2 linked regions of the Saccharomyces cerevisiae S288C genome follow. The protein of the gene in region 1 purifies or fractionates together with the protein of each later gene. This does not show direct contact. Each region holds a gene or a part of one and is shown on either strand. Other genes may lie near its edges. The genes, in order: WTM2 and RNR2.

Region 1 (4,225 bases):
GTGTCGCCGGAGGAAAGAAAGGGGAATCCTCTCGCACATCTGGTACAAGGCCAAAAATCTTACCAAAGATTCCTACCGGTGCCGAATTAAGGGATGCCATTATTAAAGCTAAGGGTATTGATTCTGTAGATGATCTGATTAAAAATGTTACCTCTGAAAAGGTTGGATTGGAATCATTATATGGAGATGAATTGAACTCTAGAAGCCCGAGTAATGACAGTTTACAAGAATCACAACAAAAGGCGCCTTTGCAGAGGCCCCTTGTTGAAGATGAAACAGTGACAAAAAAATATGACAAACTATTGAACGATCTGTCTAATGTTCGTCACAGTAAAACCTAAATTATTTTATGCTTCTGTCTTTCCTTTCTCTTTCGATTATTAGAAGGTGCATCTTTGTATAAATATCCCATCAATAATGTATTCTTAGGAATCTATATATGTATGTACGTTTTATGTGTATATGTATTTTACGTTTTTTCATAATCATATACTTTCTGCCGAAATTTTTTGCCTTCATTATGCACACTAATGTTATTAATCAGATAAAAATACAGAAATTTAAAATAAATACTGAGAATAATATAATTAACTGTTCGAGAATTGTCGCAAATTAATAGCTTCACACTACTCCCACAAGGATTCCTAATTCACGTGCAACAGCAACCGGATCTTTTTGAAAATGCTTTCGAATTGGTTGGGACCCAGTTTCGTAGAATCCTCTTTCATCAATCTAATCAGAGAAACGAACCCAACGAGTGTTAATAGATTGATAGCTGTGGACCATTTTTTCCTGCTAGTCATTTTTCTAACACCGAAATAACGGCAGAGCCCCGAACCTATATGATATACACCTGACTCGAGGAGAATAGCTAACGGCACCAGGCCTCCAAGCCATTTCCACCACCTGTTCTTGCTAGATAGTAATTGCTTTATAGAGGCGAAATCCACCTCAGTAGAGATGGAATTCGGCACCCATTTCATAATTAATAAGTGGTATATCAGGACGGGAACAAGGATGTATCCACTAATCACTTGTGGAGGAATGCGGAAGGTCTTATACAATCCAAATAAATAGCCAGAAATTCCACCAGTTAAACCAATCGAATCTTGGGATAGATCTTGTTCGGCCGATATCTTTAAATGTCGATGTCTATTTCTTCTTGGCTTGTTCCAGTTGTTCACGATTCGGAGCAAGACACCAGCAGAAACATGAAGAGTAATACCCGCAACTAACAGCTTGGTAGTTATGGACGGTAAAATCTCTCTCACCATCATTAAAACGTCGTCAGGAGCAGAATCAGGTGATACTGCCGGCGTGATTAATGTATTTGCTGCATGTAGTGGGAAATACAATGCCATGGGCAGTACCGAAATCTTTTGACAGTTCCAAAGGAATCTCCGACATGAACTCCTGGAAAAAGGATACGGAATGCCAAATATTTTTTTCCTCTTATCAGGATTACCATCTCCTTCGGGGCTATGTGCATTAACATCATGAGGGAGACTAGCAGGGTCTACTGGTTCTGGAGGCACTTCATGCAACTTTATCATCGTAATAAACAAAACTCTGGGCTAACTGGTATATGCCCTAGTAATTCGGGACCTGTTAGGAGCAATACAATCTACACAAGGTTTTCCTTACTTATTTTCCAATTGACGACCAACTTGCCTCACACAATTACAGAGCACGTATTCGCTCTCTAGCCACTCTTTTCAAAACAAATTTTAGTTGTGGACCTGGTTAGGATACAATCAGCGATGTCGGAAGACTGATGTAGTAGAATTGACTGGAACGCTTCTTCTATAGTCTACACGGAAGCTATACTCCCTTGAATAGATGGTAGATGTTCCGCATAAGGTTTGTCCTTTTGGTTTTTTAGCCCCGTTCGGGGTTCGAACTGCTAAGTCATATTCCGCACATATGCGTCCGCAGACTCTCATTGGATCATTCTTACCCATTCGGGTCATAATGCAAGCCTTTACCATTTATGGCACTTTGATTTCCCTTTCCATCTCACATCTTCAATTCTATTGTTTTTGAAAAAAAAAAAAAATAAAAAAAAAAAAGATTAAAGGCAATTAGTTAGCTGACGTATGGAACATCTCTGCTGTACAGCTACATTTACTTATAAGACAAGGAGCAATTAGTAGCGACGGGAGCAAGAACTAAAAAGGATAGAGGATGGCGAAAAGCAAATCCAGTCAGGGTGCGAGTGGAGCACGCCGTAAACCGGCACCTTCTTTATACCAACACATTTCTAGCTTTAAACCACAATTCAGCACAAGAGTCGACGATGTTTTACATTTTAGCAAGACACTGACATGGAGAAGTGAGATTATTCCAGACAAATCCAAGGGCACCTTGACGACTAGTCTTTTATATTCTCAAGGTAGTGATATTTACGAAATAGACACTACTTTACCATTAAAGACATTCTATGACGACGACGACGACGACGACAACGACGACGACGACGAAGAAGGTAACGGCAAGACGAAGTCTGCAGCCACCCCAAATCCAGAGTATGGTGATGCTTTCCAAGATGTTGAGGGGAAACCATTGCGCCCAAAGTGGATTTACCAGGGCGAAACAGTGGCAAAAATGCAATACTTGGAAAGCTCAGACGACAGTACGGCGATCGCGATGTCCAAGAACGGCTCTTTGGCATGGTTCAGAGATGAGATCAAGGTTCCCGTTCATATCGTACAGGAAATGATGGGCCCTGCTACTAGATACTCTAGTATTCACTCTCTAACCAGACCAGGTTCATTAGCAGTGTCAGATTTTGATGTGTCGACAAATATGGATACGGTAGTAAAGTCACAAAGTAACGGCTACGAGGAGGACAGCATCTTGAAAATCATCGACAACTCCGATAGACCGGGAGATATATTACGTACAGTGCACGTTCCAGGGACCAACGTGGCTCACTCAGTTAGATTTTTTAACAACCATTTATTTGCATCTTGTTCAGATGACAACATTTTAAGATTCTGGGACACAAGAACAGCGGACAAACCGCTTTGGACGCTAAGCGAACCGAAAAATGGACGACTAACGTCCTTCGATTCCTCTCAAGTTACTGAAAACCTATTTGTCACTGGGTTCAGCACGGGTGTCATCAAGCTATGGGATGCGCGTGCTGTGCAACTGGCTACTACTGACCTCACACATAGGCAGAACGGCGAGGAACCGATCCAAAACGAAATAGCCAAGTTGTTCCATTCTGGCGGCGATTCCGTTGTCGATATCCTGTTCTCACAAACCTCTGCAACAGAATTTGTTACGGTTGGAGGAACGGGTAATGTCTACCACTGGGACATGGAGTACTCTTTTTCAAGAAACGACGATGACAACGAAGACGAAGTTCGAGTGGCTGCTCCGGAGGAACTTCAGGGTCAATGTTTAAAATTTTTCCACACAGGTGGCACAAGAAGATCGAGCAACCAATTCGGGAAGAGGAACACTGTGGCGCTACACCCCGTAATCAATGATTTTGTTGGCACTGTTGATTCAGATAGTCTTGTTACTGCCTACAAACCATTTCTGGCCAGTGACTTCATTGGCAGAGGTTACGACGATTAAAAAAAAAAAAGAGTAAGAAATTAACGTTACCACCTATGGGAAAGGCAGTAACTCACAAGCATTCACGTACATAATTCTGTTTTTTTTTTTTTTATTCATTTCTAGCACGCTATCGGGGTTATTTTTTTTTTTGTAATATATAGTGATGGTATAATGTTGTATAGATACTGGTATCGCTCCTAATAAAGACTCTTTCAGATTTCTGAAGCCAACGAAGTAAGGCCTCAAGAAAAGAGGGTTACCAGTAATTAACCAAGCAATTTCTTTTTTTTCTTTCCAGCAAAGAAATAAGACAAAAACCGGCTATATGGAGAAGAGGGAGGATCTAATGGTGACATAGTCCATTTCAAGATTCCCTCTTTCGTTTCTCGGATGAAGCTCGATGTTTACAATTCAGAATCTTAAAAGGCTGTCGCTAAGAAAGACCCAGAGGCACATGCAAGATAGTTGTGCCTGTACCACGTGAGAAGGCGGTATTCAATATGCGGTGCTGTGCTGGCTTCCCTTTTTGGAACGCGCCGGGGTATAACAAAGAAAGGCTAAGTCATACAATAGGCAAAAGACCTTTGTCTTTCCTTTTTTTCCTCTTTCCTAACATACGGTGGTTTATGTACTATCCCTTATGTAATTGCTTAGC
Region 2 (3,682 bases), on another chromosome or scaffold:
ACACATTATCTTATAAGGGGACACCATTTTTTTGAATGAGCCCTGTGAGAGTAATTCATTGCATTGTATGTAACTGTCTGTCAATATCTTTAAATTTTGGAAAAGAGTCAAAGAGTGGGTGAGGTTTTTCTTGGCAATGTCCAGGTACGAGATACCTTCTGTCAGATTCGATATCGTCAACTCGGTGGAGGCTGAGACATCTTGAGTTTCTTTGAAATCTTGGAAAACTTTCCTCAGAGAAGCCTCTATTTCAGCGGAATTTTTAGGGTGTTCCTTCAATTCATTCTCTTCTTTGAGAATATCCTCTTGCAATTGCTTTTTGTAGCTTCTGGTAATACTGATCAGTTCATCTATGTTGTTCAGGGATTCTTTTGAAAAAAGTATATTGGTAATATCTTCCAGCGGGTCATAATCTACCGTACCTTCCAGCATTGTCCTTCTGAGAAAACAAAAATGGAAGATGTTGTGAAAATGCAGTAAGTGACAATAAGCTAGCGACTTTTCAATGATCGCAGATTAAGTATATATACACTTTAGGTCTCCTTCTCTTCTTTACTAGCTACGAAAAAACAAAGAAAAAAAAAACAAAATAGAGGGAAAAAAGATATACGTATAAAAATATGCTCCAGGGGAGGTTCGAACTCTCGACCTTCAGATTATGAGACTGACGCTCTTCCTACTGAGCTACTGAAGCACTATTTCTTGTTCCAACCGAGGAATAATACTAGACCTGTAGAAAAGTACCGCTTATCTAATATCCAACTTTTTCTTCTGTTCCCTTTAGTGAATTCAAGATGAAGGAACATAACAGAACGGAAAACAAAAAAAAAGGGAAGAAAAAAGATATCACCACCAATTGGCACGCTCGCAACGGTTTCGGGCCAGATTCATGGCCCTGTGGGGTAGAAGTGCCTACAGACAAAAAACCGTTACGTCCCGCCTCACCAAGCATCGACACACAAGCCCTCTCAACCTCCTTAATTTCTTTATCTTTTTTTCCCTTCACCTCTGTGCTCTTTTTTTAGCCACAGCTGTGCATTACGCTTGCTTTGCTTGTTTTGTTCTCTTTCGCCATGCCATATTACTACTTTTCTACTTACTGGCACGAGGCCGCGCAAGCCAGATCCAAGCACGCCAGAAAGTGCGGTGTACTGGTGCAACCTTTTATCGATTTCTCATCATATCGCTATCGCAACGGGCATGGGCGACGAAAAAGCCAATCTAAAGCGTTGTCTTCCTCGTTCCTCGCGCACGCGATTTTGCGTTCTGCATAGGAAGCCGAAGTCGAACAAGAAGCAGGCAAAGTTTAGAGCACTGCCCCTCCGCACTCAAAAAAGAAAAAACTAGGAGGAAAATAAAATTCTCAACCACACAAACACATAAACACATACAAATACAAATACAAGCTTATTTACTTGACATCGCGCGATCTTCCACTATTCAGCGCCGTCCGCCCTCTCTCGTGTTTTTTGTTTACGCGACAACTATGCGAAATCCGGAGCAACGGGCAACCGTTTGGGGAAAGACCACACCCACGCGCGATCGCCATGGCAACGAGGTCGCACACGCCCCACACCCAGACCTCCCTGCGAGCGGGCATGGGTACAATGTCCCCGTTGCCACAGAGACCACTTCGTAGCACAGCGCAGAGCGTAGCGTGTTGTTGCTGCTGACAAAAGAAAATTTTTCTTAGCAAAGCAAAGGAGGGGAAGCACGGGCAGATAGCACCGTACCATACCCTTGGAAACTCGAAATGAACGAAGCAGGAAATGAGAGAATGAGAGTTTTGTAGGTATATATAGCGGTAGTGTTTGCGCGTTACCATCATCTTCTGGATCTATCTATTGTTCTTTTCCTCATCACTTTCCCCTTTTTCGCTCTTCTTCTTGTCTTTTATTTCTTTCTTTTTTTTAATTGTTCCCTCGATTGGCTATCTACCAAAGAATCCAAACTTAATACACGTATTTATTTGTCCAATTACCATGCCTAAAGAGACCCCTTCCAAAGCTGCTGCCGATGCATTGTCCGACTTGGAAATCAAAGATTCCAAGTCCAACCTTAACAAGGAATTGGAGACATTGAGAGAGGAAAACAGAGTAAAGTCAGACATGCTTAAGGAGAAATTGAGCAAGGACGCTGAAAATCACAAGGCTTACTTGAAATCTCATCAAGTTCACCGTCACAAACTTAAGGAAATGGAAAAGGAGGAACCTTTGTTGAATGAAGACAAGGAGAGAACTGTTCTTTTCCCTATCAAGTACCATGAAATCTGGCAAGCCTACAAGCGTGCCGAAGCTTCTTTCTGGACCGCTGAAGAAATTGATTTGTCTAAGGATATCCATGACTGGAACAACAGAATGAACGAAAACGAGAGATTTTTCATTTCCAGAGTTCTTGCCTTTTTCGCCGCTTCTGACGGTATTGTTAATGAAAACTTGGTTGAAAACTTCTCCACCGAAGTCCAAATTCCAGAGGCAAAGAGTTTCTACGGTTTCCAAATCATGATTGAAAATATTCACTCTGAAACTTACTCCTTGTTGATCGATACTTACATCAAGGACCCTAAAGAAAGTGAATTCTTGTTCAATGCCATTCACACCATCCCAGAAATCGGTGAGAAGGCCGAATGGGCTTTAAGATGGATTCAAGACGCTGACGCCTTGTTTGGTGAAAGACTAGTTGCCTTTGCCTCCATTGAAGGTGTCTTTTTCTCCGGTTCCTTTGCCTCCATTTTCTGGTTGAAAAAGAGAGGTATGATGCCCGGTTTAACCTTTTCCAACGAATTGATCTGTAGAGACGAAGGTTTGCACACCGACTTTGCATGCTTGTTGTTCGCCCATTTGAAGAACAAACCAGACCCAGCCATTGTTGAAAAAATTGTCACCGAGGCTGTGGAAATTGAACAAAGATACTTCTTGGACGCCTTACCAGTTGCTTTGCTAGGTATGAACGCTGACTTAATGAACCAATACGTTGAGTTCGTCGCCGACAGACTGTTGGTTGCTTTCGGTAACAAGAAATACTACAAGGTCGAAAACCCCTTCGATTTCATGGAAAACATCTCCTTGGCCGGTAAGACCAACTTCTTCGAAAAGAGAGTTTCTGACTACCAAAAGGCTGGTGTTATGTCCAAGTCGACTAAGCAAGAAGCCGGTGCTTTCACCTTCAACGAAGACTTTTAAGAGTATCTCTCTATATATTTCTTTTTACGCAGTCTCTTCAATCTCTTTATGTGGGCTTTCGCACCTCTTATTTATATATATATATATACACTGAATCATATAAACTTTTTTTTATATTGAATCTAATATATTATCAAACGGAAACTTCGGCTGAATTTCATACGTATATTGATTAAAGTGGAAAGGGCATCGGAAAAGTAAGAAAAGCTTAAAAAAATTGAAAAAAAAAAAAAAAAAAATAAAAAATAAAAAATAAAAAAACCTATACAATACATACATATGTATATGAATATAAACCTGGAACGATGTGTCTTTAAAAATAGTTGAACGAACTACTCGGACATACCCCTACATCACTTAAGGATGTCTACTTTCATAAGAGGTCCCATCTGCGGTACAGACAACTGCCCCTCACGGCTTTGGCGTATCATTGATGGGAGAAGAACCTGCCAATATGGTCACGTTATGGAAGGTGACGTGGAATTTAACGACGATGAAGA

What was found.
Region 2: the proteins of WTM2 (region 1) and RNR2 purify together in Saccharomyces cerevisiae (affinity purification with mass spectrometry; 4 studies listed by BioGRID, with this or other methods). This does not show direct contact.

What each region holds. Positions count from the first base shown.
Region 1 is NC_001147.6:766,225-770,449, forward strand, and holds WTM2 (transcriptional modulator), read left to right. Parts: upstream 1-2,184; coding exon 2,185-3,588; downstream 3,589-4,225. Other genes in the region: HER1 (Her1p), read left to right, coding at 1-341; MCP1 (Mcp1p), read right to left, coding at 645-1,553. UniProt on the Saccharomyces cerevisiae protein: Transcriptional modulator with roles in meiotic regulation and silencing.
Region 2 is NC_001142.9:390,422-394,103, forward strand, and holds RNR2 (ribonucleotide-diphosphate reductase subunit RNR2), read left to right. Parts: upstream 1-1,982; coding exon 1,983-3,182; downstream 3,183-3,682. Other genes in the region: VPS53 (Vps53p), read right to left, coding at 1-432; YJL028W (uncharacterized protein), read left to right, coding at 890-1,225; YJL027C (uncharacterized protein), read right to left, coding at 1,412-1,828; RRN7 (Rrn7p), read left to right, coding at 3,546-3,682. UniProt on the Saccharomyces cerevisiae protein: Provides the precursors necessary for DNA synthesis. Catalyzes the biosynthesis of deoxyribonucleotides from the corresponding ribonucleotides. RNR2 provides the diiron-tyrosyl radical center.